Arabidopsis thaliana: one gene and its partners. The protein of the gene in region 1 purifies or fractionates together with the protein of each later gene. This does not show direct contact. Each region holds a gene or a part of one and is shown in the gene's direction. Other genes may lie near its edges.

Region 1 (5,288 bases):
ACAAAATTCCAACAGTTTCATTTGTCGTGTAAGCAATTAAGTTTTCTGGTATCATTTTCAGCATTTATGGTTTCGTTTTTCTTATGATCAAAAGAGTGTCAAATCTAACGTAACGATCCATATAATCTCTTCGGTCGAAAACTAAAATATGACAAAAGTTTAAAACTACATCGTTACTGAGTTGCAATATAAAATACAAAGTTAAGAAATTCTATTGTATATATCTAAATACACTAAACTATCTATCAAATAGAATTATTGATTCATTTCAACTTTTTTGCGGTTTCAGAATATTCCATAAATTCCACTGCAACAAAAACAACATGCAAATAATTAATTTCTTCTCCATGGTCGAACTCAAATTAAAATTTTGTCTACCCCTCTCAAAAACATATATGGACCAACCATTTATTCTGTAGAAACATTAAATTAACTTATTTTATCCATTAAAGTATCAGTTATAAAGCAAAGCATCCCAAAACTCATCAGAAACCGGCCACTAAAAAACAAAGGTATATGAGACATAATTGGCGTCTTGAATAATCTCTTCACAGCAACCAGTTTTTACAACAAATCCCAAGCTCAACGAAGCCATCGACGATCCAAGTAATTGGTTCTCTATTCTTATATCGGGTCAGAATCCATTTGCCGGACCCAACCAACCACCCCCACTATGGGATAGGAAGGACGTACAAAAACATTTAGACGATAAAAAGTGGATTTCGCATATCAACCCAGGACGTGTTACAATTTTGATGGGTTAACTTAACCTGGCCGTGGATCAGTAAACCAGCCCTCGAACCATCAACACCTGATAAGTCAAGTAACTGAGTAAGTACTTTCGAGGATACAAATTTCTTTCTTGGAGAAGATAGGAGAACGTCCTCGTATCAACGAAAAAATATGAAGATTATAATTTGCCGGATTTTTAAATTAATCGAATGCTTTGCTTTTCAGCAATAATCTGGTTTTGGACTAAAATGATCTTGGATTGGAAATTGTGTGGTGAAGTAAGAAGCTCTAATCTTGGAGCTCATCTTATTGCCAAGAGCGTGACAATGGAGGATCGCCGCCAATCGTATGTAGCAAGCGGATTTCCTTTTTGGCTGAAACATCTTTTTGAGAAAGAAAGAAGTATTGCTTAGTGTAATATTCAACGTGGTTGATCTAGAATGATTGTCCTTGATCCTAACTTTTTGTATATTTGGTTACAATCTTGAATATAAAATATATCTTTCAGTGAAAAAAAAAAAAAAGAGACTAAAATGATCCATTATCCAAAATTGTAAATCATATAAAAGTAATTTAAAATAAAGATTAAATTATACTAATAAACTAGAATAATCAACATAAGCTTGATATGGGGACTAGACCAAACAAACTTCTATCATCGTAAGTTCGTAACCACAAGTAACCATCATCAATCAGATATTTAATATATTTCATGTTACACTAAGTATTAAATCACATATTCATCCTCTTCAACAAAGGTCGTTGACAAAATCAAAAACAACTATACGTTGATCATATTAATAATCTCTAGCATTTTGGTTGTTTGTTATTTTTTATTAATAACAGATAAATAAATAATTTCACATTTAACCAAAAAAAAATACTAGCAGCTAAACAATGAGCATTGTAAAATCTCCCAAACAATCAAAGAGTTTTTCTCTATATAACATTATTGGTAGTGTAAAAAATGTAAAATTTATGTTAGATTTTCAACAATTAAAATGCGAATATAAACCCTATTTTTGGAGTATTTTAATTCCCTGTTTTCCCGGCTTTTTCATGGATAATCTTACAAAGACTTTTTAATATCTTGATGATGATGATGATGATGATGCTTCAGGCACGCAACTTTATGCCAAGCTTACGTGGCAAATTTGGATAGCCAAAAATAAATTAGAAGACCAAATTGATATAAAGAAAGAGATCTTCGTATTCAACTATTTCTTCATTCGTAAACAAACACACACGAAGCAAAAACAAAAATGAAAACTACTCATTTCTCTTCCTCTTCTTCTTCCGATCGCAGGATCGGTGCTCTGCTCCGTCATCTCAATTCCGGCTCAGATTCGGACAACCTGAGCTCTCTTTATGCATCTCCGACATCGGGAGGCACCGGTGGTTCTGTTTTCTCTCATCTTGTTCAAGCTCCAGAGGATCCTATTCTTGGGGTACCTTCTTCTTCTTCGATTATGTTTTGTGTGTCTATATCATTCTCAAACATATTGGACGATACTTTTGGATATGTGTATCATACGCATTGGATCCGTTATTGATTGGTGGGAATTCACGATCTCTCGATAAAATGACATGATGTTTTATGAAATGGGATAAGATTTGATGTTTATGCTTCTGAATTTGGTTCGTTTGATTAGTAATTCATTTTTTTTTCACCAAATTTTCAGCTCTGAGATGAATTATGATGATTAGTGTGGTTATGTCAGTGATTCTGATATTTGTTTTTCACAAAAAAATGAATAGGTGACAGTTGCATACAACAAAGATCCTAGCCCAGTTAAGCTGAATTTAGGAGTTGGTGCTTACCGAACTGAGGTAATGTTACAATGAAGATGTGTCTCTGTTCTTTGATTTATTATTTTTGTTGTTGCAACTGAAAAGGATTGGTTGTTTATTGATGGGTTACAGGAGGGAAAACCTTTGGTTCTTAATGTTGTGAGGAAAGCTGAGCAGCAGCTTATCAATGACAGGTTTACCTCTCTTTCTTTTGGTTTCTACCCTTTATGTGTGTGTGTGTGCTTGATGATGTTGAATCTTGTTTTGTGTGTTAATCTGTAGAACAAGAATCAAGGAGTATCTTCCCATTGTTGGATTGGTTGAGTTCAACAAGTTAAGCGCTAAGCTCATACTAGGCGCTGACAGGTATGCATTCTCTGTTTATTCTTTATGTTTTCATCACTTTGTTTTTTCTTTAGACAATTCTTTATGATTGGTGTTCTCATGTATGGTTTAGTCCTGCTATTCGGGAGAATCGGATTACCACCGTGGAGTGTTTGTCTGGTACTGGTTCTCTGAGAGTTGGAGGAGAGTTTTTGGCTAAACATTATCATCAGGTTGATGCTTAAGCCTAATTTCCTATCTGATTGAATTTCTTCATCCTATAGAACTTCTCATAGAAATTTGGAGTCTTTTCCTTTGCTTTTCAGAAAACAATTTACATCACTCAGCCAACATGGGGAAATCATCCAAAGATTTTCACGCTCGCTGGTTTGACAGTGAAAACTTACCGATACTACGATCCAGCGACGCGTGGGTTGAACTTTCAAGGTGAGACTACTGAGTTCTTTGCTTGCTATTGTTGATATGCTTATATATCTTTCTGAATTCGTTTACGTCAACTTTTTTTCTTCTTTTGTTCACAGGTTTATTAGAAGACCTTGGTGCTGCCGCACCTGGTTCTATAGTGCTTCTCCATGCCTGTGCCCATAACCCTACTGGTGTTGATCCAACCATTCAACAATGGGAGCAAATCAGGAAGTTGATGCGATCAAAGGGATTGATGCCCTTCTTCGATAGTGCTTATCAGGTACACCTGATGAATCCTTTTGTGTAAGATCAGCTGATATTTAAACCATTTTCCTTCTGAATCAATGGTTAATACTTGTCTCTCTTTTTGTATCGCAGGGCTTTGCAAGTGGAAGTCTTGATACAGATGCGAAACCTATTAGGATGTTTGTTGCTGATGGCGGAGAATGCCTCGTTGCTCAAAGTTATGCGAAGAACATGGGACTCTATGGAGAACGAGTTGGAGCTCTCAGCATTGTAAGAACCTGTTGCATTGCAAGAAATCTATTTAAGAAACGCGTAAGAAATTCTTTCTGACATAAAAGAAGTTGTTGTAGGTATGCAAATCAGCAGATGTTGCGGGGAGAGTTGAAAGCCAACTGAAACTAGTGATAAGGCCAATGTACTCGAGTCCTCCAATCCATGGTGCATCAATCGTGGCTGTAATCCTCCGTGACAAGAATTTGTTCAACGAATGGACTCTGGAACTGAAGGCCATGGCTGATCGTATCATCAGCATGAGGAAACAGCTTTTCGAGGCATTACGTACTCGAGGTAAGTAAGGTCTTATTGATTTGTATAAGGAATGTAAATGGACATAGCTAATGAAATGAAATTCAAAATCACTGTGACAGGCACTCCTGGAGACTGGAGTCACATCATAAAGCAGATTGGTATGTTTACCTTCACAGGGTTAAACCCAGCTCAAGTCTCCTTCATGACTAAAGAGTACCACATCTACATGACATCTGACGGGTAAGCGCCTGCCTCTCTTCTTCATCTATTAATTTTCTTGAATTTTGTCTAACTTAGTGTGTGATGATTGATATAAATGAACCAAAGGAGGATAAGCATGGCTGGTCTGAGTTCGAAGACTGTACCTCACCTTGCAGACGCTATCCATGCTGTTGTCACCAAAGCCGTCTGAGAAACTGAACACCACCATGACACCAAAGCTTCATAATAAAGATTTTGTTCTTTTCTTTCTATTATAGCATTTCCGGCAGTGACAAGATAAATGTCGTTACTATTATTATTGTTTCATCCCAGTATCAATAAAGTACGCAAGAAAGCTTTTGTGCTCTCTCTTCTACTATTGCTTACAACTCTTTTTTGGTTTCTTATAGAGTCAAATGTTTAAGAGAAAACATTTGAGATTTAAGCTGGTGAACTTGAATACAGTTCATGTAGAATCTGAGGTTTTAGCATATGACGGAATTGCAGAAACTATTTAGATTAAACTAGCAGAGAACAAGAATAAGTTACTGCAGTTGGTTCGTTTCACAGAGTATACGGACGTGTACTCATTGCAGGCAAATGAAATATGTATATATATATTGAACACAGAATCTACATAAATTCACTCCAATTGATCCATTAAAAAGAAACAGAGAAAAAAAATTGATCCAGCCAGGGATAATTCATAAAAGATGCACATACATATTTATACATTGTTCATGTATGGTGCATTTTGCATATTATGTATAAGCTTTTGGCATTTTACCTACATCCCTTCAAGAGGTAGGATGAGACTTCTTCTGTTGCTTTGATTGGAGACTCGCAATCGTTGAAGTCCAGCACTCGACGCTCCGCCTATAGATTGAGAAATGTTCAAAACACAAAATCAATGGAGCACAAAACATTTTTCTTTGTTTCTAGAACTATAATCTCAAAACCGTCTACTTAGAGAGTGAATGATTTGTAGAGTATGTATATATACCAGTAGAGGATCATTATTCTCTTTATCCAATTCCTTC
Region 2 (7,007 bases), on another chromosome or scaffold:
TTAGGTGTTTATCTTTGAGCATTCTTTACATTTTTACTAAGCAGTTTCTCCTCAGAGGTTGAGATTATTTATACTTGTAATGCAGCCGCACTGTTTGCCAGAGGATTGAAGCTGAAGGTGCAGTATGGTTTCTTATTAATCTTCTGAAGCAGCCAGAGATCTCACTAAACGTTACAGAACACGTATGACTTCATTTTCTTCTTCCTTTGTTCTTTGATATCTTTGTCTAGGCTATTATGGAATAACTGGACGTGAAATGGTATTTTGTGAACTATGTTATGCAGGTTCTGGATATAATTGCTCATATCTTAGATCCTAGCAAGGAAATGGAATCCAAGGTGTGTTTATTTTCCAAGGTTGATTATTATACATTAAATCTGCTTTCATTTGGCTTATGCTATTTCTCTACATGCTACAGTTTTATGAAGGACCGGTGAACGGATCAAAAGCAGACTCCAGGTCAGTCTTCTTCTCGATCTTCCTATCTTCAGCTCATTCATTCTTTTTGTTTTTTTAGAAGTATTAATTACTCAAAACATCGGATGGGAATGAACAGAAAGGAAGTTCTGGACGCTGCTGTTTTTTCTCGGCTCGTCCAGATTGCGAAAACAGCCTCTCCGAACCTGCTAAGAAACGCAATCTCTGTCATCGAGTTTGGTATAATCAGTAATCCAAACATGGACACGATCATCTCCAAGGATATCACAACTGTTCTTGATCTTGCTCTCCGGCAGAAAGTCCTGGAAGGTACAAAACTTATCTTTTGATATAACTCTGTTTGAATTTTATAACAGCATACAATACTTTTTATGGAAATGCAGAACCTGAGAATGAAGCTGAGGAGTTAGAGAAACATCTGCTTAAGCTAGAAGAAGCTGGTTTGACGATTTCCGCTGCTTCAAGGCTACTGACAAAACTTCTTGACTCCGAGTCCTTTCGCCAAACAATAGATACCGCGGTCTTCATAGAATTAGTAAGGAAGATCCTAAGATCAAGCCTCCCTCTACACTACAAAGACTGGGTTGCCGCTTGTCTTGTCAAACTCACCGCTCTCTCCTCTCCCTCTCAATCCCTCAACAATCCGATCAATCTTGAGGTAACTCTGTACAAAACGATCCCGAGCCTCGTGGAACAAATGAGCTTTTCCTCATCACCAGAAACGAAAGAAGCAGCGGTTTTAGAACTGAACAAGATAGTCTCCGAGGGAGTTCCAGAATCTATCCAAACACTTGCTTCACAAGGAGGTATCGAACCGCTGGTTAAGCTTCTTGAAGAAAGGAACGAGCGGTGCGTTGAAGCGAGTTTGTCAGTATTGTACAACTTAACCATGGACAGTGAGAACCACACAGCCATCATAAGAGCAGGAGCTGTACCAGTATTGAGACGTATCGTTATGTCTCAACGACCACAATGGGAGAAAGCTCTTCGGTTACTCAGAAATTTACCCGTTTAAGACATTTTTACAGATTATTGTCATGTAAAATTTTGGAATCAATTAGAATAATATAATGTATGATTTGTCATGTGAGACGAATATACGAAAAGTTAATTACATTAAGATAATCGGATTACGTAGCACGTATATTACTATTACCATATTCTAGAGATTACACATGATCAATCAAATATTTAATCTTTGAAATGTTACGCAAGCAAAAATGAATTTAAAATCTGAAAATACAATCCAACGGCTGAGATTTTCTTACTGTGTCAGTGAAAACGAGAGAAACGTTCTAGTTCACTCACTTGGTTACACGTGTCTTGGGATCGTTTAGCTTTTAAGCAAGCTTCTCTTTTGCGTAATTTATTTAAGAGCTGCTTGCTTTTATCATCATCACTCTCTCTGCGTCCAAATTTTGATCTTTGTTCTTCTCAAAGCGAATATGGTTTTCAAGGTTTCTACCGTATCCACATCTCCTATTGATGGCCAGAAACCAGGAACTTCTGGTCTTCGTAAGAAGGTTCGTTGATCGATCCTTGTCTTCTGAATCAAACGAAATCGAATTGTTGCATCTGGATCAGATCTGTTTAGATTTTCTTGAGTGTGATTTTGAAGTGAGATTGACCATCTGATTAGATTTGATCTATGCATTAATCTATATTGATTAGTGAATGATGACAAATTTTAAATTTCGTTTTCGTTATTTTATTTGGATCAAGTTCGAGATCACGTTTATTATATTTGATTTGAGTATATGTTTGGGACGCTTCTATGTGGTGAATGTTGATTTGATAGAGCTTGAAATTACGTTTTTTGAGTTGGTGTAGCGAAATGGAGACTATATGGATTGAATTTGTGTATAATTGAAACTAGGGAAGAGCCTAGTTGTTATTGTCAGATCTTCGTTTAACGTATATACGATCTGCAATGACGTTTATTGAGACTCACTGATCAGATCTGTTTCAGATATTTTGATAAAAGAAATTTGGGTTGATCATTTTATCCAATCAATCGAGTGTCGATTGTTTGTTCTACTCTCTGCAGATATCAAACTAGCATCTTTTTGTATCTCTGATTAGTATTTTTTTTTTTTTTTCTAACTGTGTAGGTGAAAGTGTTCAAGCAACCCAATTATCTAGAGAATTTTGTCCAAGCAACATTCAATGCTCTTACGGCGGAGAAAGTTAAAGGTGAGATTTTTTTCATACTCATCTTAGCTTCTCAGAGATATCTGCTCATTCGAAAAATTCATGAGTGTTTATTGTTCATATGTGCAGGTGCCACACTTGTGGTCTCTGGTGATGGTCGTTATTACTCAAAGGATGCTGTTCAGGTAAGGCCGATGATATTCCCTGTCTTCTGGATCTGTGTGAATGTAATTGGCGTATCCATAGAATTATGAATTAGTGCTCATGTATTTACAATGTTTTGGAGGGAACTCCTGTGTTAGGAAGGCCTGCTATTATCATCAATGCCTTGCTTATTTTTCTTTGTGTTCATCTCTAAAATTTGCATCGAAACCTCTATAGAGAGATTAGAGGTTTATAGAAGTTAAAGTTTTGTTTGACTTTGAAATCTCTGAAACTTAAGTTTGTTTGATCTACTCCTATTACAAATCCGGTTCATACTGTTACAGATGAAGATGTTTTACTGCTTTTCATACAATTTTATTTTGTATCTTAACAGATCATAATTAAGATGGCAGCAGCTAATGGTGTACGACGTGTGTGGGTTGGTAAAAACACTCTGTTATCAACTCCTGCTGTATCAGCTGTGATTCGTGAAAGATCAGGGGCTGATGTGAGATTTCTTTCTCTATGCTCATGGTTGTAGTGACATTTTGTTTTTTGTTTTTTTTGGTTATTTGCTATGTTTGTGCATGACGCAAAATGTAATGATGGTTTTGAGTTACTTAACCCCAGTCTCCGATTACAGGGATCGAAAGCAACTGGAGCATTTATCTTAACAGCAAGCCACAATCCTGGTGGCCCTACTGAGGTCCGTTCTGTTCTTGTTCCATCTCTACTGTGCTATCCTTTCATTTGAACTATTCGTTTTGTATCTCTTTATTTGTTCTTTTTTTAATAATAAGATATCTAGATGGATAATAAGACTAAGAGGTGATTCCATACCCCTTGTACAGGATTTTGGAATCAAATACAATATGGAAAATGGAGGACCTGCTCCTGAATCAATCACTGATAAAATTTACGAGAACACTAAGACAATCAAGGAGTACCCAATAGCACAAGATCTACCCAATGTATTCTTAAGAATCCTCTTATAGATTTCCATCATCTGTCTTTTGTTGAATCATAGTTGATCTGGTCTATCTGATGAATGCGACAGGTTGATATTTCTGCTGTTGGTGTAACCAGTTTTGAAGGACCTGAAGGAAAATTTGATGTTGAAGTTTTTGATCCCGCAGATGACTACGTTAAATTAATGAAGTGAGTGGTCCCTCAATTTAAAAGCATGATTCTGGAATCTGCTCCCTCTATGGTCTATGTGCAATTTTTATGATCTTTCTAAAGAAAAATTCTCGCTCCTTCAAGGTCAATCTTCGATTTTGAAGCCATCCGGAAATTGCTATCATCTCCAAAGTTTACATTCTGGTATGTAACTAACATTGGTTCCCAAACCTTTTCCATTTGAGTTAAGTTTTGTAATATATGTTCCATCACTGTAATGTTATATTTTACTTTGTTTTATGAAGCTATGATGCATTGCATGGAGTTGCTGGAGCCTATGCACATCGCATCTTTGTCGAAGAACTCGGTGCGCAAGAAAGCGCATTATTGAACTGCACTCCCAAGGTCTTATTTTTGTCTAACCAAGAAACGCTATTCCATAAATGATTACAAATACACCTCCAGGCTCAATATTTACCACAATACAACGATTTGCAGGAGGACTTTGGAGGAGGGCATCCGGATCCCAATTTGACCTATGCTAAGGAGCTTGTGGCACGAATGGGATTAGGTAAATCCGACACTGGAGGTGAACCTCCAGAGTTTGGCGCCGCTGCTGATGGTGATGCAGACCGTAACATGATCCTTGGTAAAAGGTAGCTTACTGACGTTTTCAAGAGAGATACATCCATGGAACTAGTATACCAAGTACTTTTAAACTTAAAGTATCTCTTCATTTGTAGGTTCTTTGTAACTCCTTCGGATTCAGTTGCCATAATTGCTGCAAATGCTATTGGTGCCATCCCGTACTTCAGCTCTGGTTTGAAAGGTGTTGCAAGGTATTATACACCTGGGCTCTTTTTTTACTTCTAGTAGAATTCTGTGTATACAACTCTTTTAATATATCTTTTTTGTGGATTATTTTGTAACTTCCACTTCTTGTTTTAGGAGCATGCCAACCTCAGCTGCTCTTGATGTCGTTGCAAAAAGCTTGAATTTGAAGTTCTTTGAGGTACATGTCACCGTGCAACTTCTATCCAGCTTCTTTTCTCCTAACTACATAATTTAATTTCATATCTCTATTAAATCACATATCAGGTTCCAACAGGCTGGAAGTTTTTTGGTAATCTGATGGATGCTGGGATGTGTTCTGTTTGTGGAGAAGAAAGTTTTGGAACTGGTCAGTTTCTATTTCCACACTCACACATCTGTTCATAACTTTAAAACAACCTATACAGTTCTGAAAGAAAGATCTTTCACAGGCTCGGATCATATCCGTGAGAAAGACGGAATATGGGCAGTTCTTGCATGGATGTCTATACTTGCTCACAAGAACAAGGGAAATATTGACGGTAACGCTAAACTGGTGTCAGTTGAAGACATTGTCCGCCAGCATTGGGCTACCTACGGTCGTCACTATTACACTCGTTACGACTATGAGGTAAAAGTTGCTAAGTTTGGTGATTGTAATTATACCATATTATATGGAAGAAACAGTACCCTTACTGACATCTCAAAATTTGTCTCTAAAGAATGTAGACGCAGGTAAAGCTAAGGAACTGATGGAGCATTTGGTCAAATTGCAATCTTCAATTCCTGAAGTTAACAAGTACACACACTTCCACTTCTCTGAAATCCCTTCCTTTTATACTTGAACACGTACTCATCAGTTTGGTACTCTGTTTTTCTAACCTCTTCTTCTCTCTTGATTTTATTCAGGATTGTGAAAGGAATTCGTTCGGACGTGGCAAGCGTCGCCAGTGCTGATGAATTCGAGTACAAAGATCCAGTTGATGGATCCATTTCGAAGCACCAGGGAATCCGTTACTTGTTTGAAGACGGATCACGACTTGTAAGTCATCTTTTTCTTCGGTATTTGAGCTTGGATACATTCCAGCTAAGAACAAAGTGATAGAAATCAAAACTAACTAATCCTCTCTTGTTATATCTGAAACCATATGAAGGTTTTCCGTCTCTCTGGAACTGGCTCAGAAGGAGCAACCATCCGGCTTTACATCGAACAGTACGAAAAGGATGCTTCAAAAACCGGCCGAGAATCCCAGGAAGCTTTGTCTCCTCTGGTCAGTTGCTTACTATAAAACCTCAAATCCATAAACTGTTTTCCGACTCATTACCATTTAGCTAATACCAAAGGGGTTTTCTCTAATCAAATACGTAATTGTTGATGTGTGATTCACAGGTTGACTTAGCTCTAAAGCTGTCGAAGATGGAAGAGTTCACAGGCCGATCAGCCCCCACCGTCATAACATAAGAAGGGTCAAGCTCAACGACTCAAACCATTCACCTTTTCGTCTATATGATGTTTTCTTCTTATACTATCCAAGTTACATTATAAGAATAATTAGTCTCAGGGAGAATTTGTATTTCTCATCAGAATTCTGAACAACCAAGACTGATTTCTTGAGTTGTTGTGAGGCTTATACTTGTACGGATTTGGCTTTCTCAGTTTTGTTCTCTCTTGTTTCCGTATTTTGGCGAGTATACTCTCTTAACATCTAAGTTCATTGATACCTCAAAGCATGCTACGACCATCCATTGACAAATCTCAGAGTTGTCTAATTACTTCAAATGGGTACTCATGAAAATGCACCCTCTCGTGTTTTGGTTTGATGTTGCATGGTTTTCAATGCATGATACCATAATATATGGACGAAAGCCATTTTTTATTACTTCTCTTTTGAAAAGTGGGAGAGACGTCGAACTTGAAAACGAAAGAGAATAAATGGAAGATTCAATATATGTATGTGTTGCTTTCGAAACGAATATAGAGAATTGGAACAAGGAAACCCAAAGATTTGGTTAGAGTCGTACACAACCCTAATTCTCCCACCGGACCTTCCATATCTAGAACGAAGCTTCATTCAACTTTCTACTCCACTTAAACCACACTATCCTTTATTTCGTGTAAGTATATCTTTCTTATACTCGATTTCTTTCTCTTTTGAGTTTTAGTATCAAATATTTGTATCATTGACCTATCAGTATATTTCAAATCCAAATTCAGACATAATGAGTTCTGTCAAGTATCAATAACATGTGACTAATTGAGTGGTCGTATAAATCATATTCATATACATAATATATGAACGTGAGAAAAAAAAGAATTTGATTATATAATCGTGCAATATATTTTG
Region 3 (7,062 bases), on another chromosome or scaffold:
CAAGGCAAAAACGAGTTTGTGAACGAGGCTAAGTTGTTGGCTAAAGTTCAGCATCGCAATGTTGTTAATCTTTGGGGTTATTGTACACATGGAGATGATAAGCTCTTGGTTTATGAGTATGTCGTTAATGAGAGCCTCGACAAGGTCCTCTTCAGTAAGTTTTTCTTCTCAATGAGATTGGTTTGTATATTAGGATAAATGATATTGAAAGAAGATGGTTTTAACATGTAGTGGTTGCTTCATTTGAATGCAGAATCCAACAGAAAATCGGAGATAGATTGGAAGCAGAGGTTTGAGATCATAACAGGCATTGCTCGAGGACTGCTCTATCTACATGAAGACGCGCCAAACTGCATCATCCACAGGGATATTAAGGCTGGCAATATTTTGCTGGATGAAAAATGGGTTCCTAAGATTGCAGATTTTGGGATGGCTAGACTCTATCAGGAAGATGTAACACATGTCAACACTCGTGTTGCAGGAACCAAGTATGCTCTCTCTATTGTTTACCCTTAAAAAGCTCATTTACATATCTTCTTGTGTCATTTGAACTCTTTTTGTTTGTTGGTGTTTCATGGTAGAATGTTATTTAACGTCCATTGCTTCTTCTTTTCTTATGCGCAGTGGTTATATGGCGCCAGAGTACGTAATGCACGGGGTTCTATCGGTAAAGGCAGACGTATTCAGCTTTGGGGTTTTGGTTCTGGAGCTCGTAAGTGGACAGAAGAACTCGAGTTTTAGCATGAGACACCCTGACCAGACTCTTCTTGAATGGGTAAAGCCTCTAGTCTCATGCTCCATTGTTTATAGGGTTGTTGTGTGATGGCCTGACCCAGCCAATATTCTTCAGCGTAATATAACCAATGCTAAATTCTTTCTGAATGTGACACAGGCATTTAAGTTGTACAAGAAAGGCCGGACCATGGAGATACTAGACCAAGATATAGCAGCTTCAGCTGATCCAGATCAAGTCAAACTCTGTGTACAGATCGGACTACTCTGCGTTCAAGGCGATCCGCATCAAAGACCGAGCATGAGACGGGTATCTCTACTTCTCTCTAGAAAACCAGGACATCTAGAAGAACCGGATCATCCTGGTGTCCCGGGATCTAGATACCGTCGGCGAACACAACGTCCTTCAGGAGCAGCATCACTTGGAACATTGTCGACCACTGGTTCCAGCACAGATTCTTTCGGTTCAAACCTGAACACAAACACGGGAACTGGTGTTAGAGGTACCCCCGCATCTTCTAAAGCTTCAACTCGGAGTAATGCCACTAGAAGTGCTGGTCAGAGCTCTAGCTCAGACCCTCACGGGAAACGACATATGAGTTATTGAAGTACATAAAATCTGGTCATAGGTGATTGTAAATAGCGAGCTGCATATATAATATTTGTTTCATAATTTATTTAATTTTGCTTTTGAAAAGTAAATTAATTTATTTTTTTGACTGCAGTAGTGATTTAGTTTTGTAGTATGATTTGTTATATTAGCGGGAAAAAATTATGATTCATTTGTTACATTTGTATATTAGAATAATCACTTGTAGTCCCATTATCTAGGTCCCCACTATTGGCCTCGTACGTATAAAAGCATATTCTCTTGTACGTATTAACGGTACCTTACTTTAAACAAAACATAAAACTAAAATGTTTTTTATGCGTTTTAAATTATTTTTCAGTTAAAATTTATAAAAAGGGTTTTTGTAAACAATTATTTTGATAGTAAAAGAAATACTAACTGAAATTAGTGGAGAAAATACACAAACATATATTTAACTTTCTTTAATTTAAAATATACAGATTTTGTTTCTTTAATTTTTTTTTTCAAATTTTAGTTTTCATTTATTTTTAAATAAAGTATGACATGTCATAATGTTGTATTTTGATTTGTCATTAAAAAGGGGGTGAATCAAATTGGTTCACTCTAGAGGTGAACTTCGCCAAAGAATCACAGACCGTCAGTGTTAATCATCAGAGACATCAACGTAATGTTCCTCTTGGTTACTTCTTGCTTTAATGTTCCTCTTGGTTACTTCTTGCTTTCTACCTGATTCAGGTTCTTCAGTTAAAGTTTCTCTTTTCATTTTTGGGGTAATGCCCGGTTGGGCCTCGTTGTTTTATTTAGGTTCTAGTTCTAGGGCCTGCGTGTCCTTTTAGGCAGTTATTGCCATGTATGTTCTTTGGGCCATTCGTGCCTCTGTCGGCTTGTTGGGCCTTGTAATCGTTTCGGCTCTATTGGAAATTAAAAATAAAATATATATACTAACCCGTTTTGGGTAAAAAGTTAGGTCCACTAAAAGACGAAAAGAGATCCTACCAAAAAAAAAAACGAAAAGAGACGAGCCACACGCGTCACCTTCTCGTTTAGCCTCTTCATCTCCTTTCCTCAGACTCACTGTGTAAAAAGGCTTTTATTTTATCATCTTCAGGCTTATTCGATTTTCTTCAGATTTGAAATGGTGTCGTTCAAGGTCTCTCTCGTCTCTACTTCGCCTATTGATGGCCAGAAACCTGGGACTTCTGGACTCCGTAAGAAGGTTCGTTCGCTTTCGCTTCTTCTCCTTGTTATATCAATCCCCGCGTTCTTATTTCGAAATTGGATTAGAGATTTGAATTCTAAATTCAGATCTTCGCAACGAAATTGATTTCTTCATTTAGTTCCGATCTTATGGATTGAATGAATTTTGTGTGTTGGTTTTAACAATTTGATCCGATCCGATGAGATTTGAATTTACGCATTGTTTCGTAATTTTACAGGTGAAAGTGTTTAAGCAACCAAATTACCTTGAAAATTTTGTCCAGGCAACGTTCAATGCTCTTACTACAGAGAAAGTTAAAGGTAAAGATCTCTCTTACCTCTCTTTGATTGTTGTTCAGGTAAAGGTCGATGATTGCAAATTCCATCTAAGAAAGAGTATTTGTTAACTTTTTCAGGTGCGACACTTGTGGTTTCTGGTGATGGTCGTTATTATTCAGAGCAAGCTATTCAGGTAAAAGCTTTATATGTCCTTTGAATGATGGCAAACTGCGTTTTGCATTAACTTATAATTCTTAGACACTTTACTCTTATTTTAGTTGTTTTGAATCTTTTATTTCATAAAAAAGATAGTTCGTCAATACCACTTTATTTCCTATCTGGACAGATTATAGTAAAGATGGCAGCAGCTAATGGTGTTAGACGTGTGTGGGTTGGTCAAAACAGTCTGCTATCAACTCCTGCAGTATCAGCTATTATTCGTGAAAGAGTAGGGGCTGATGTGAGATATCTTCCTCTAAACTCATACTACTTACTTTTCTCTTGGGTTGTTATCTAAGGCTATGCATGTTTGCAACATGTAATGACGTGATGAGAAACTAACCCGAGATCCAATTTCAGGGATCTAAAGCCACAGGAGCATTTATCTTAACAGCAAGTCATAATCCTGGTGGCCCAACTGAGGTCAGTTCTCTTTTTGTTCTCACTCTTTTGTGCTTGTTCATTCGATACCCTCACTTAGTATTATTTGAATCCTAGCATCAGTTTTGTTAAACTATATGTTCATCTCTCTGCTTCCATATGCTGATTTCCTGCTATTCTATTCACAGGATTTCGGAATTAAGTACAATATGGAAAATGGTGGACCAGCTCCTGAATCAATCACTGATAAGATTTACGAGAACACAAAGACAATCAAGGAGTACCCAATAGCGGAAGATCTACCCAGGGTACCTAACATTTCTGATCTTATTACCTGTCATCATCTTTTTTTCATCTTGTATTTGTACTAATCATGTTTTTTTGCTGGTCTTTTTGATTGAATGCAACAGGTTGATATTTCTACTATTGGTATAACCAGCTTTGAAGGACCTGAAGGAAAGTTTGACGTCGAAGTTTTTGATTCTGCAGATGACTATGTTAAACTAATGAAGTAAGTCTTTCCATCTTTGTATCTGAGAGAACAGTTCTTGAATCTACTCCCTCTATGGTCTATGCATTTAAGAGAATGGTTCCAGAATCTGCGGTATCGATGATCTAAAAGATTTGTTCGTCTCTTCAGGTCAATCTTCGACTTTGAATCCATCAAGAAATTGCTATCTTATCCAAAATTTACTTTCTGGTATATAGTTCATCAACATCCATAAATCTTTTCTTTTGAGTTTGTTTGCTTGTATAGGCTCCATCATGTCTTTGATATTTTATTTCCCATCGTTCTATGAAGCTATGATGCATTGCATGGAGTGGCTGGAGCATATGCACATCGCATCTTTGTCGAAGAACTAGGTGCACCAGAAAGTTCGTTGTTGAACTGCGTACCCAAGGTATCATTTTTTTCTTCTTTCTTATTTTGTATAACCAAGAAATATCATTTCCTGAAAGGATTATAAATACACGTTGAACAGTGTCTTTTATGATTTATAACAACACGACAATCGGACAATGTACAGGAGGACTTTGGAGGGGGCCACCCGGATCCCAATCTTACCTATGCTAAGGAGCTCGTGGCACGCATGGGATTGAGTAAAACTGATGATGCTGGTGGCGAGCCTCCAGAGTTTGGCGCCGCTGCTGATGGTGATGCAGACCGAAACATGATCCTCGGTAAAAGGTAGCAGAGACTAATTCTCTTTTAAGTGAGATCACAGAGATGTGGAGCGGATATACCACTCTCCCCGTTAACCAAAAATATCTCTTCTCCGCAGGTTTTTCGTAACTCCTTCGGATTCAGTTGCTATAATTGCTGCAAATGCTGTTGGGGCCATACCATACTTCAGCTCTGGTTTAAAAGGTGTTGCTAGGTATGCATCCCGGTTCTTCTTTGTTTACTCCAGTTCATAGATTGAAAACGCTGGACTTTGGTGTCATACGTTTTTGTTTATTATAGATAGTAACAATCTTTTCTCATTAAATTCTCAACTTTCACATTCGTATTGCAGGAGCATGCCGACCTCAGCTGCACTTGATGTCGTTGCAAAAAACTTGGGTTTGAAGTTCTTTGAGGTAGATGTCATTGTGAAGCTTTTCTCTAGCTTCTATTCATTGCAATCACGTAACATAGTCTATTGCTCTAATACTTCTATATTTTAGGTTCCAACAGGCTGGAAATTCTTTGGCAATCTAATGGATGCTGGGATGTGCTCTGTATGCGGAGAAGAAAGTTTTGGAACCGGTGAGCTTCTATTGCTAGATCTTCACATGTTTTAAAACCGTAACAACCCTACACAACTCACAAAGAAGCTTTTCGACAGGTTCGGATCATATCCGTGAGAAAGATGGGATCTGGGCAGTTCTTGCTTGGCTATCAATACTGGCTCACAAGAACAAGGAAACCCTTGATGGGAATGCAAAACTGGTGACGGTTGAAGACATTGTCCGCCAGCACTGGGCTACATATGGCCGTCACTATTACACTCGATACGACTATGAGGTAAAACTGACAAATGTCATTATTGGTTGTAGACAATATGTAGAATAACCAATTACCTTTGACCAATTTCTAAATATTTGCTCCATAGAACGTAGACGCAACTGCAGCTAAAGAACTCATGGGACTTTTGGTTAAGTTGCAATCTTCACTTCCCGAAGTCAACAAGTATCTCTCTCTCCACTTAATTTCAAATCCATTCCTTTTTACTTGTATGACTTTCAGACTCACGTTTTTGGATAATTGGTCAGGATTATAAAGGGAATTCATCCAGAGGTGGCAAATGTTGCAAGCGCAGATGAGTTCGAGTACAAAGATCCAGTAGATGGCTCTGTTTCAAAGCACCAAGGGATCCGATACTTATTCGAGGATGGATCACGACTTGTAAGTCGATATGTGTGAAATGGATTCATAACAATTCAACAACCTGTGAAATTGTAAAAGCTAATCCGGGCTTGTTTCTCTTGTTCATGAAGGTGTTCCGTCTCTCGGGAACTGGCTCAGAAGGAGCAACAATAAGGCTATACATTGAACAATACGAGAAGGACGCCTCAAAGATCGGCCGAGATTCTCAGGATGCTCTTGGTCCCCTGGTCAGATTCCCAGATACCTTAATTACTCCCAAATTTACGCATAATCGATCTTTGTCATGTTTATTAACACCAATTGTTGGTGTCTGATTTTCACAGGTTGATGTTGCATTAAAGCTGTCGAAAATGCAAGAGTTCACCGGCCGATCATCACCAACTGTTATTACATAAGACAGCTTTCAGAAGACGCTGTCTCCAATACTACTCTCATTCCAACTTCATTTCTTATGAATTTGGGTTTTGCTTTTTTCCTGTTATCTGTTATCTTACACAAGTATACTTCAATACATATAATTTTAATGGAATATACATTAGGTTGGCAATTGAATTTCTAGCTTTGTTTGGCTCCTCCAAATAAAAAAGAATTGCCACAATATTGGAGCATGTGTGGCAGATGGAGACGTAGCAAGAGTAAAAAGCGAATCCAACAATAACTGATACCTAAAACCTACGGTGTACAACTATAGATAATGGACCCGAGAGGTGGTGATGACAAGCCAGAAGACAGATGTTTATAATTTGTCTCTTGAGCTTGACCAACAAAAACATTCTGACAGTTAAAAGCTAATGTTGGGCATGAATTTCGTGAATCAGATTGTGCCATGTGTTAGTTTGTATAAGTGAGTCAGGGTTCACGGGTTCTTTCTTATTTGGTTTTTAAATCCAAAAGAAAGAGAGGCATCATTACCATCCAAACACTCCTCCCACTTTAGGCTTTCTTCCTCTGTCCTTTCTCCATATTTGTTGTCTTCTACTAAACTTTTGTCTCAACAATGACTGATGCTTTAGCTAACCATCAACATTGTAACATACAGTTGATGGTTAGCTATTTGCTATACATTTGTCTATTTCTCTTGCTTCTATAGTCAAAGTATAGAGTTAGCTCGTATAAAAAGATCAGCATTTAAGTATAAAAAAAATTAGAATGATTTTATGTATAGTATTGTCTAACTTTAGGTGAAATCACAACTGATTATAGAATCCTCGAAGAAAAATATTAAAAAATCAAAAGGCTTAATATTAGCATTTTCTTATGCAGAAATGCTTAATTAATCAAAATAAGTCTT

Evidence for each region. Proteins that work in one complex are often made in the same cells at the same time.
Region 2: the proteins of ASP3 (region 1) and PGM3 fractionate together in Arabidopsis thaliana (co-fractionation; one large-scale study listed by BioGRID). This does not show direct contact.
Region 3: the proteins of ASP3 (region 1) and PGM2 fractionate together in Arabidopsis thaliana (co-fractionation; one large-scale study listed by BioGRID). This does not show direct contact.

The regions. Positions count from the first base shown.
Region 1 is NC_003076.8:3,684,428-3,689,715, reverse strand, and holds ASP3 (aspartate aminotransferase 3), read left to right. Parts: upstream 1-1,861; 5' UTR 1,862-1,994; coding exon 1,995-2,180; intron 2,181-2,490; coding exon 2,491-2,562; intron 2,563-2,655; coding exon 2,656-2,717; intron 2,718-2,805; coding exon 2,806-2,889; intron 2,890-2,980; coding exon 2,981-3,080; intron 3,081-3,173; coding exon 3,174-3,294; intron 3,295-3,389; coding exon 3,390-3,553; intron 3,554-3,651; coding exon 3,652-3,789; intron 3,790-3,869; coding exon 3,870-4,086; intron 4,087-4,166; coding exon 4,167-4,287; intron 4,288-4,374; coding exon 4,375-4,459; 3' UTR 4,460-4,770; downstream 4,771-5,288. Other genes in the region: MYB3R-4 (myb domain protein 3r-4), read right to left, coding at 5,032-5,124, 5,252-5,288. UniProt on the Arabidopsis thaliana protein: Amino acid aminotransferase important for the metabolism of amino acids and Krebs-cycle related organic acids. No activity with D-Asp or D-Ala as amino donors. In plants, it is involved in nitrogen metabolism and in aspects of carbon and energy metabolism.
Region 2 is NC_003070.9:8,218,063-8,225,069, forward strand, and holds PGM3 (Phosphoglucomutase/phosphomannomutase family protein), read left to right. Parts: upstream 1-1,745; 5' UTR 1,746-1,883; coding exon 1,884-1,961; intron 1,962-2,549; coding exon 2,550-2,631; intron 2,632-2,718; coding exon 2,719-2,774; intron 2,775-3,127; coding exon 3,128-3,241; intron 3,242-3,376; coding exon 3,377-3,439; intron 3,440-3,584; coding exon 3,585-3,704; intron 3,705-3,790; coding exon 3,791-3,891; intron 3,892-3,996; coding exon 3,997-4,056; intron 4,057-4,157; coding exon 4,158-4,257; intron 4,258-4,350; coding exon 4,351-4,508; intron 4,509-4,595; coding exon 4,596-4,691; intron 4,692-4,800; coding exon 4,801-4,864; intron 4,865-4,950; coding exon 4,951-5,032; intron 5,033-5,114; coding exon 5,115-5,293; intron 5,294-5,384; coding exon 5,385-5,461; intron 5,462-5,571; coding exon 5,572-5,704; intron 5,705-5,816; coding exon 5,817-5,933; intron 5,934-6,052; coding exon 6,053-6,124; 3' UTR 6,125-6,485; downstream 6,486-7,007. Other genes in the region: AT1G23180 (ARM repeat superfamily protein), read left to right, coding at 1-4, 86-182, 285-338, 419-459, 557-747, 822-1,453. UniProt on the Arabidopsis thaliana protein: Catalyzes the reversible isomerization of alpha-D-glucose 1-phosphate to alpha-D-glucose 6-phosphate. The mechanism proceeds via the intermediate compound alpha-D-glucose 1,6-bisphosphate.
Region 3 is NC_003070.9:26,668,124-26,675,185, reverse strand, and holds PGM2 (Phosphoglucomutase/phosphomannomutase family protein), read left to right. Parts: upstream 1-2,019; coding exon 2,020-2,094; intron 2,095-2,303; coding exon 2,304-2,540; intron 2,541-2,760; coding exon 2,761-2,842; intron 2,843-2,937; coding exon 2,938-2,993; intron 2,994-3,146; coding exon 3,147-3,260; intron 3,261-3,379; coding exon 3,380-3,442; intron 3,443-3,588; coding exon 3,589-3,708; intron 3,709-3,810; coding exon 3,811-3,911; intron 3,912-4,040; coding exon 4,041-4,100; intron 4,101-4,202; coding exon 4,203-4,302; intron 4,303-4,428; coding exon 4,429-4,589; intron 4,590-4,683; coding exon 4,684-4,779; intron 4,780-4,917; coding exon 4,918-4,981; intron 4,982-5,068; coding exon 5,069-5,150; intron 5,151-5,229; coding exon 5,230-5,408; intron 5,409-5,496; coding exon 5,497-5,573; intron 5,574-5,656; coding exon 5,657-5,789; intron 5,790-5,881; coding exon 5,882-5,998; intron 5,999-6,094; coding exon 6,095-6,166; 3' UTR 6,167-6,540; downstream 6,541-7,062. Other genes in the region: AT1G70740 (Protein kinase superfamily protein), read left to right, coding at 1-154, 254-488, 625-811, 893-1,339. UniProt on the Arabidopsis thaliana protein: Catalyzes the reversible isomerization of alpha-D-glucose 1-phosphate to alpha-D-glucose 6-phosphate. The mechanism proceeds via the intermediate compound alpha-D-glucose 1,6-bisphosphate.